2 linked regions of the Danio rerio genome follow. The protein of the gene in region 1 purifies or fractionates together with the protein of each later gene. This does not show direct contact. Links are inferred from orthologs where the notes say so. Each region holds a gene or a part of one and is shown on either strand. Other genes may lie near its edges.

Evidence for each region. Proteins that work in one complex are often made in the same cells at the same time.
Region 2: the proteins of dbnla (region 1) and neurl4 purify together in Homo sapiens (co-immunoprecipitation; 4 studies listed by BioGRID and IntAct, counting the BioPlex papers as one, with this or other methods). This does not show direct contact. The link is inferred for Danio rerio from reciprocal best matches to the Homo sapiens genes DBNL and NEURL4.

Annotation. Positions count from the first base shown.
Region 1 is NC_133185.1:47,603,911-47,608,086, reverse strand, and holds the start of dbnla (drebrin-like a), read right to left. Parts: upstream 2,891-4,176; 5' UTR 2,831-2,890; coding exon 2,754-2,830; intron 1,949-2,753; coding exon 1,893-1,948; intron 1,760-1,892; coding exon 1,647-1,759; intron 482-1,646; coding exon 407-481; intron 312-406; coding exon 165-311; intron 1-164. UniProt on the Homo sapiens protein: Adapter protein that binds F-actin and DNM1, and thereby plays a role in receptor-mediated endocytosis.
Region 2 is NC_133187.1:24,192,779-24,196,436, forward strand, and holds part of neurl4 (neuralized-like protein 4), read right to left. Parts: intron 3,308-3,658; coding exon 3,163-3,307; intron 3,057-3,162; coding exon 2,944-3,056; intron 1,785-2,943; coding exon 1,622-1,784; intron 1-1,621. UniProt on the Homo sapiens protein: Promotes CCP110 ubiquitination and proteasome-dependent degradation. By counteracting accumulation of CP110, maintains normal centriolar homeostasis and preventing formation of ectopic microtubular organizing centers.

The DNA of each region.
Region 1 (4,176 bases):
GAACTCATTCATTCATTTTTCTTCAGCTTAGTCCCTAATTTATCAGGGGTCACCACAGCGGAATGAACCACCTATTACCTTTTAATTTTTTTCACAATTTCCATAGTAGGACTAGACTTCCATAATCTTTAATATGAGTTATGATTATGATTGAAATCCCTCACCACACGTCCAGGAGGCTCAGAATGATTGTTCTGGCTTGATTCTCTGTGGATGTTGTAGTTTACGCCGGAGCCTTTGGCCACTTTCTCCATGATGGCCGCAGGTTCCACGTCATCATCTGATCGAGCGTTAATGGTCACGTGTGCACCCTTTAATTCAACACATAACAGATTAAAGTTATGATGGTGTTTATTTGCATGACATAATGCGACAAATAAGAGAATGACTTGTATTTTAAACTCACTCTCAGAAAATTGGCCATTGAGTGAACATGTCTAGCGCAAACACCCTTTCTGAGGTCCTTGACTCCCTCGCCGGTCTAAAACCAAAAGAGGATTCATATCAATGAAGCTGTGAATACATTTTAAAGCTTTCGGTGTTGCTGCATTTTTTTAAAGTAAAAAGTATTCGCCCTCCTGTGAATTTTGTTTTCAAGTATTTCCCAAATGATGTTTAACAGAGCAAGACATTTTTCACAGTATTTCCTATAATATTTTATCTTCTGGAGAAAGTCTTCTTTGTTGTCAGTGTTGCCAGATCGGGTGATTTTGAATTTGATTGTGTGCATAGGCGGATTGACAAAATTTGTGCAGTTTTGAAACGTACATTTTACATGCAACATATAACCTCAACATGTTAACAAAACATAACTGTGTGGTCCTACTCCGTTTAGTTAGTAGTGACCAGTGCTGGCGAGGCAGTGGCGCAGTAGGTAGTGCTGTCGCCTCACAGCAAGAAGTTCGTTGGTTCGAACCTCAGCTCAGTTGGCGTTTCTGTGTGGAGTTTGCATGTTCTCCCTGCCTTCGCGTGGGTTTCCTCCGGGTGCTCCGGTTTCCCCCACAGACCAAAGACATGTGGTACAGGCGAATTGGGTAGGCTAAATTGTCCGTAGTGTATGAGTGTTTGTGTGTGGATGTTTTCCCAGAGATGGGTTGCGGCTGGAAGGGCATCCGCTGCGTAAAAACTTGCTGGATAAGTTGGCGGTTCATTCCGCTGTGGCGACCCCGGATTAATAAAGGGACTAAGCCGACAAGAAACTGAATGAATGAATGACCAGTGCATATTGCAATCCGCGTGGGCCCATCCGCATTTTAATAAATAATATGAATAATTCTCTGGATAATTACTGTTTTTACATTACTGTAAGGGTTGGGGTTGAGGTAGACATTAATAAAATACAATTGACTGGGTAATTTAATAAATATTATGAATAATTCTTGTTAATGTCTGACATTATGACTTAATGTCTGACATTTAGACATTAATGTCTGACATTTAGACTTTACAGACCTGAAACTTGCCTACAGCACTTATTCATTGTTGCTCTTAGTTGTGTAAATTGCTTCCTTGTCCTCATTTGTAAGTCGCTTTGGATAAAAGCGTCTGCTAAATGACTAAATGTAAATGTAATATTTGAGTGAACTATTCATTCATGAAGCATTTTTTATTTGTACATCCAGCTCTGAATATTTTTCTGTTCATACCCAGTTGATGAGCACAAATTTGGGCACTCCAGAGCTGGGGTCCAGCACTCTACAGAAGGCATACATGACTTTACCACTGTTCAGTTCGTCCACCATTTCTTCAAGCCCACCATCTAAAAAAAATGAGAGAAACACAAACCAGCATATGAAACTGTGGACTGCTGACTCATCAATAAGACAAAAAAAAAAAAAAAAGCATGACGTCAGTCTATTGGCACTCTCATCTCATCTGAAGAAAACACTCACCTCCCTTCCCTGCAACCCGAATGTCATTACTGTTTCCTTCATAGGTGAACAACACCCTGTTTAAAAAAAAAATTACATTTCATGCAAGATTATTAACAGAATAGGCTATTATAAATGTAAAATACTCGCCAAGAAGTAACCAGCCATTCTGTTTTTTTTTTGCACAGGTTATATGTAATAGCTCATAAAACAAATTTGAATATTGTTTTGAAAATAAATGAAAAAATACTAAAGTAAACACTAGAGTATTTTGAATTCTATTGTTGCAGTAGTACATCAACTATATTAGTACTAATATAAACAACCCAACTTTACTGCAACTACATTGTTATTATACTACATTGTTATTATACTACACCACAGTTTACTGTAGTAAAAACTAAAGTGCACTGCTGTATTTATTATAGTTCACTATAGTTAATAATACTACATTATGCTTTATCATTCACTAACAAAAGTGTTGTAAACACTATACACTCAAAAAAATTACGTTTGCTATTTGTTTAAACGACTTATTTAAAATGAGCTGAAACAACACAATTTTTGAGTTTTTTTTTAATTGGGACAACTTAATTTTTTCATTAAATCTACTTAAATTTGTAAAAACTAATAAGTTAACTCTTTCATGTTGTCCCAACGCAAATCGAGTGTACAGTGTATACAATAATACGCTTTGCTATATGCTTCAAAAACACTATTTACTCTAATTACTATAGTATTTTTAATGTTGGATGCCAGATTCTCTTGAAATGGCAAAGTTAATTACGTAAAGTAAATATAATGATTACTTATTCTTTAAAAAAAAACATGTCATTCGTCGATTTATTTTCGAGGTGTTGATGTGTGATGGAGTTTTCTTACCAGTCTTTTTTCCCGCTCACCACCTCATCATATGCTTCTGTAAGCGCGGGTCCGTTTTTACTCAGGTTTACCGCCATTGTGGATCATGAAATGAATGAAGTTGTGGATATTTTTAATGGAGATATAATCATAACCAGTCTTCCTCTTTCGTTTGAGCGTCCTTTGTCGTGTTAAAAACGCACCTGTCTCTTGAAATCTGGTTCGGCGAGTTTTTGGGAATTGAAAGGAGGAAGAGAAAGAGCTTCCCAGCAAGCCATAACTATTTAAATGATTTAAACAGGGACAAATATTGAATTTTGTGTGTGGTAGAAATGCATTACAGCGAGAACACTGTTAAAATTGTTAAAATGGTCAACGTGTTAGCATTGGGAATCATTTTACAGAATCGACTCTTTTGAAGAGAACCGATCAAATGATTCACGGATATTTTTGTTTTGTTTACGCGTTATTTATGTTTACTTTTTCATTGGATATGATATGTAGCGTCAAATAATTCAATTTAAGAATTAGTGTTAATTATATTAATGTTAGCATTGTCCATCATGTTAACAATCGGTTGGATTGAATCAGTTCAAACGAACTATTTGTTCATGAGTCGCACCTTACTTAGCATATATCTATTGATCAATCTAAGGGCGGTTCACGAGGTCACACGTGGAACTAGTTGGACTTGTACAATCACATTACTGTAATTACTTAAAGAATAGACTGAACAAAGCTATAATGCAAATCCTTTTCTTCAGAGTTCATAGATTGAAGAGCAAGAGAAATTGCGATCTGAAATACCACCGGTAAAGGTGTCAGTGAAGTATGTTATGCTATGTTGTGGTGTATTATTGCTTTTAAATAATGCTCCACACTCTATCCTAAAAGTTTTATATGTGTATGTGAAATTCAAAAACAATTACAGCTTTTCCAAACAATTCACACACAGATTGCCGCTGAAAATACTTTTGCAGATTGCACTGTTACCATACTTATTGTGCCATTTTTGTTTGTGACATGCATTTACAAATGCAAATTATGATACTTATTTAGACTTTTTGTTTGCATGCATCTTTTCCAATTGGCTCTAAAATAAAACACGCAGTTATTTGTTTGACCGCACGATGGCGCACTTTTCACGATTTTGACTCCTTTGTATTTCTATTGACTTAATTTGTATTATGCCCGAAAACTGGAGCAACATGTCAACTTGTAGAGAAAAGGCTTTTATGAAAAATGAAAAATCTTCTGCCATCACACAGTGAAAGGAATTCTGAGGGAAGTCTGCATGTGTTTTGCCCATGTGGCCCCCCAAATCTATTATTTCACACTACATTTGAAACAAATTAACTCAGCGCTTCAGTCTCCTCAAAGGTTTTCAAATCAGTGTATAACTCCAAATTTCAACCACATTAAAAATCTGCCAGAGAAAATCATG
Region 2 (3,658 bases), on another chromosome or scaffold:
ATTTTTTGGAAATAGGCTTATTTACCCTGAAAACATCCACCAGAGTTGAACAGCTAAGCATTACCATTTTTGAATCCATTCAGCCGATCTCTGGGTCTCTTACTAACACTTTTAGCTTAGCATAGCATAAATCATTGAATCAGATTAGACCGTTGGCATCTAGCTAAAAAAAAAAGGCTTTGATAATTTTCCTATTTAACAGTGGAATTCTGTAACTACTAGAATTACCATAGTGGTCATTCTGACCGTTCTCATATAAGACGTCATATTGTCTTGTAATATTTATATTCAAAGCTTCTATTGAGATATTAAAACTAAGCTTTTTATAGGGCTTATTTCTCAGTTCTATGCCTTTTAGGTTTACTCTGAATCCTAAGAGTTCTGTTTAATCCTGAAGATTAGTCTAAGATTTGTGATTGCACTTTTCCAAAATGTACCTCAATTTCAATACATGAACAAAATGTCAAGTTTTTCCACAGAATTTATTTTACACCTGTTCATCTGCATAACATGTTCCCAGCTTGTTCTTGTTGAAGTGCAATAACGTGTAAGGGCACATTTTTCATGTATTTTGGTCCCGTGTTCACATCAAACCATTTTGGAGGGGGGTTCATTCTGCAATCCAGGAGATAATTGGAAAACGTTTTCTTTCTCCCCCTCACTTTTTTTTGTTGAATGACATTCCTGAAAACCTTTTTGACTCAGAGATCAAACCTGTTTACAACTCTTACATTTTTGGCTAAGAAATGTATATTACTAAAATAGTCTACTTCTCAAATTCCAACTATTTCCATGTGGATTTCTCAGTTGTCAGTCTTTCTTCCTTTGGAAAAATTAACCTATGATCTCAACCACAAACAGAACAAATTCTGGACGCTTTGGGGACCTCTTCAATTTTTTCTACATAAACTCTGAATTTTTTATTTTCAATTTTTATTTTTTTTATTTGAGTTCTGGCTTCTTTTGTTTTAATAATTTTATTATAATTATTATTATTATAATTTTTTTGTTTAAACAGACATTTGTACATTTTTATTCAATCTGGCATAATAATCAAGGAACTCTGCTGCTGTACCAGGGCTACAGAAGGTGCAATGTTGTTACGCATCATCTGAAAATAGTTTACTATTTTAGTGTAATGCTAAAAAAAGCAACTACTGTAGGTAACTAAATAACAGTCACAGCACAGTGTAATATTATAGCATATCATGTTTTTTTCGCTAAAATTTCAGCTTTCTTCAAAATATTTTCTTTTGTGTTCAAAAAAAGAAAGAAAATCTTGAGAGAACCACTTTTGGGTGAGTAAATTTTCATTTTTGGGCAAAATATGCCCCTTAAGTAATTGAATGCATAAATTGTTTGATCAGGATGTTCACTAACAGTACACCGCTGCTTATTTTTACCCCTAAACAAACAACAAAAAAGATCTGAAAACACAGAGCAACAGACAACATAATAGAATCTCCGAATTTGATTTGATAAACACATTATGCTACACAACAATTTCATTTCTTTTGAACCAACTGTCGTAAATCTTTTATTCATTATAGCATCCAAAAGCTGCTATAATTTTAATGTCCTGTTTAAATGTCCTCAGGAAGTCTGCAAACTGTGGACTTACTGCACTTTCGGAGCGAAGACCTCGAGGCCGGAATATCGCATGGTTGGTGAGAGCTGCACTCTGGGAATGTCTCTCTCTGGAGCGCTGTTCTCCTCCGGCTCTCCGTAGCTGCCATGACCCTCCGTCTTCACCGACGATGACGAGAAAATAGAGGATGATTCTGCTGATGAGAAATAGAGAAGCTGATTTTAATTCACACATTCATGCATTTCAGAAGCAGATATTTAGCCTTTTCAATGTTAGAGATGAACTGGATAAAAAAAATAATAAGCCTACAATTGAAAAGGAGTTGAATTATTAGTCACGTTTATTTTTTCCCCAATTTCTGTTTAACGGAGAGATTTTTTTCAACACATTTCTAAACATAATAGTTTTAATAACTCATTTCTAATAACTGATTTATTTGATCTTTTCCATGATGACAGTAAATAATATCTGACTACATATTTTTCAAGACACTTCTATGCAGCTTAAAGTGACATTTAAAGGCTTAACTAGGTTAATTAGACTATCGAAAAAATAATTAGCTTAAGGGGGCTAATAATTTTGTCTAAAATGGTGTTTAAAAAATTAAAAACGGCTTTTATTCTAGTAGAAATAAAACAAAAAAGACTTTCTCCGTAGAAAAAATATTATCAGACATACTGTGAAAATTTCCTTGCTCTGTTAAACATAATTTAGGAAATATTTTTTTAAAAATTAAGATTTCTAAGGGGCACTAATAATTCTGAATTCAACTGAATATTATGTATATATTATATATATTTCACTTATTTATGAAAAATATTATTAAATAACACAATAACATCTTAATTATAAGAATCTACACAAAATCTCTTACAATCACACCACCCAATCTTGATTTATTTGATCAAAAATACAGTATGAACAGTAGTATTGTGAAATATTAAAATAAATATATTATATAAATATATTTAATATATAAATATATATACCAAATGTATATTATAACTATACATTTGGTTTGAAAAATAATGTTATACATTACATTATATAAAAATAACTGTTTTTCATTTTAACATCTATTAATATGTAATTTATTGCTGTAAAAGGACTGACAGCATAATTACTCCATTCTTCAATGTTTAATGTAATTGTTTAATATATTATTGTTTTACATTATCAGTAGTGTTGAAAACAGATTAATATTTGCGTGACAATTACGTTTCATACAAACAATATAAATTATATTACTATCACTTATAATTAGTCATTGATGAACAGAAGTGTTTAATGGTTTCAAACAATACCCAATAATTGTTAATGAATAAATTCAGAATTATTTTCCAGTAACTGCTAACCTGATAACAGTTGGTTGTGGTCCAGGGTGCGTCTAAGAGAACCGACACTTGTGCCGTGATACGCAATGTGCCACTTCTTGAAGGCATTGGAGACTTCACAGTGGGTCTTGATCCTGATTAAATAAAGACAAGACCACTTGATAAGGCATTAAATACCACTAATAAATCATCTTCACATTCTAACAGCTTAAATACAGAAGCAACTTAAAAGTAACTGACTGGAGTGCAAAGCGGCACCAGCCGAACGGTAGAGCATAGTCTCTGGGGGGCTCTCCTCGCTTGTAATAGGCCTCATCACCCCTTAATTTATGACAGGACTCACAGTAACACAGGTTATACTTGGCATCCTCATTAAAGTAACCATCTGGAAGAAAAAAAAAGAGCAAGGGATTCAGTATGTAACAGGTTAGCATTAACCATCACATTCAATCTGTGCACATACAGCTGAGACCAAAAGTTTACATACACTGTATAAAAAGGCACATAACCATAAAAAAGTCAGATGTTAATGTGATTAAACTTTTTCTCTTTTAGGAAAGTTAGGTGTATCAAATTTGTTTTTGTTATGCTTAATAGCAGAATAGTGAGAGAGAAGCCAGATTACAATTTGCTAAATTACACTGGGAAAAAGAATAATGTTTGGAGATGTCCTGTGGTCCGATGGAACTAAGCTTAAACTGTTTGGCCATAATGACCAGTGTTACATTTGGAAGAC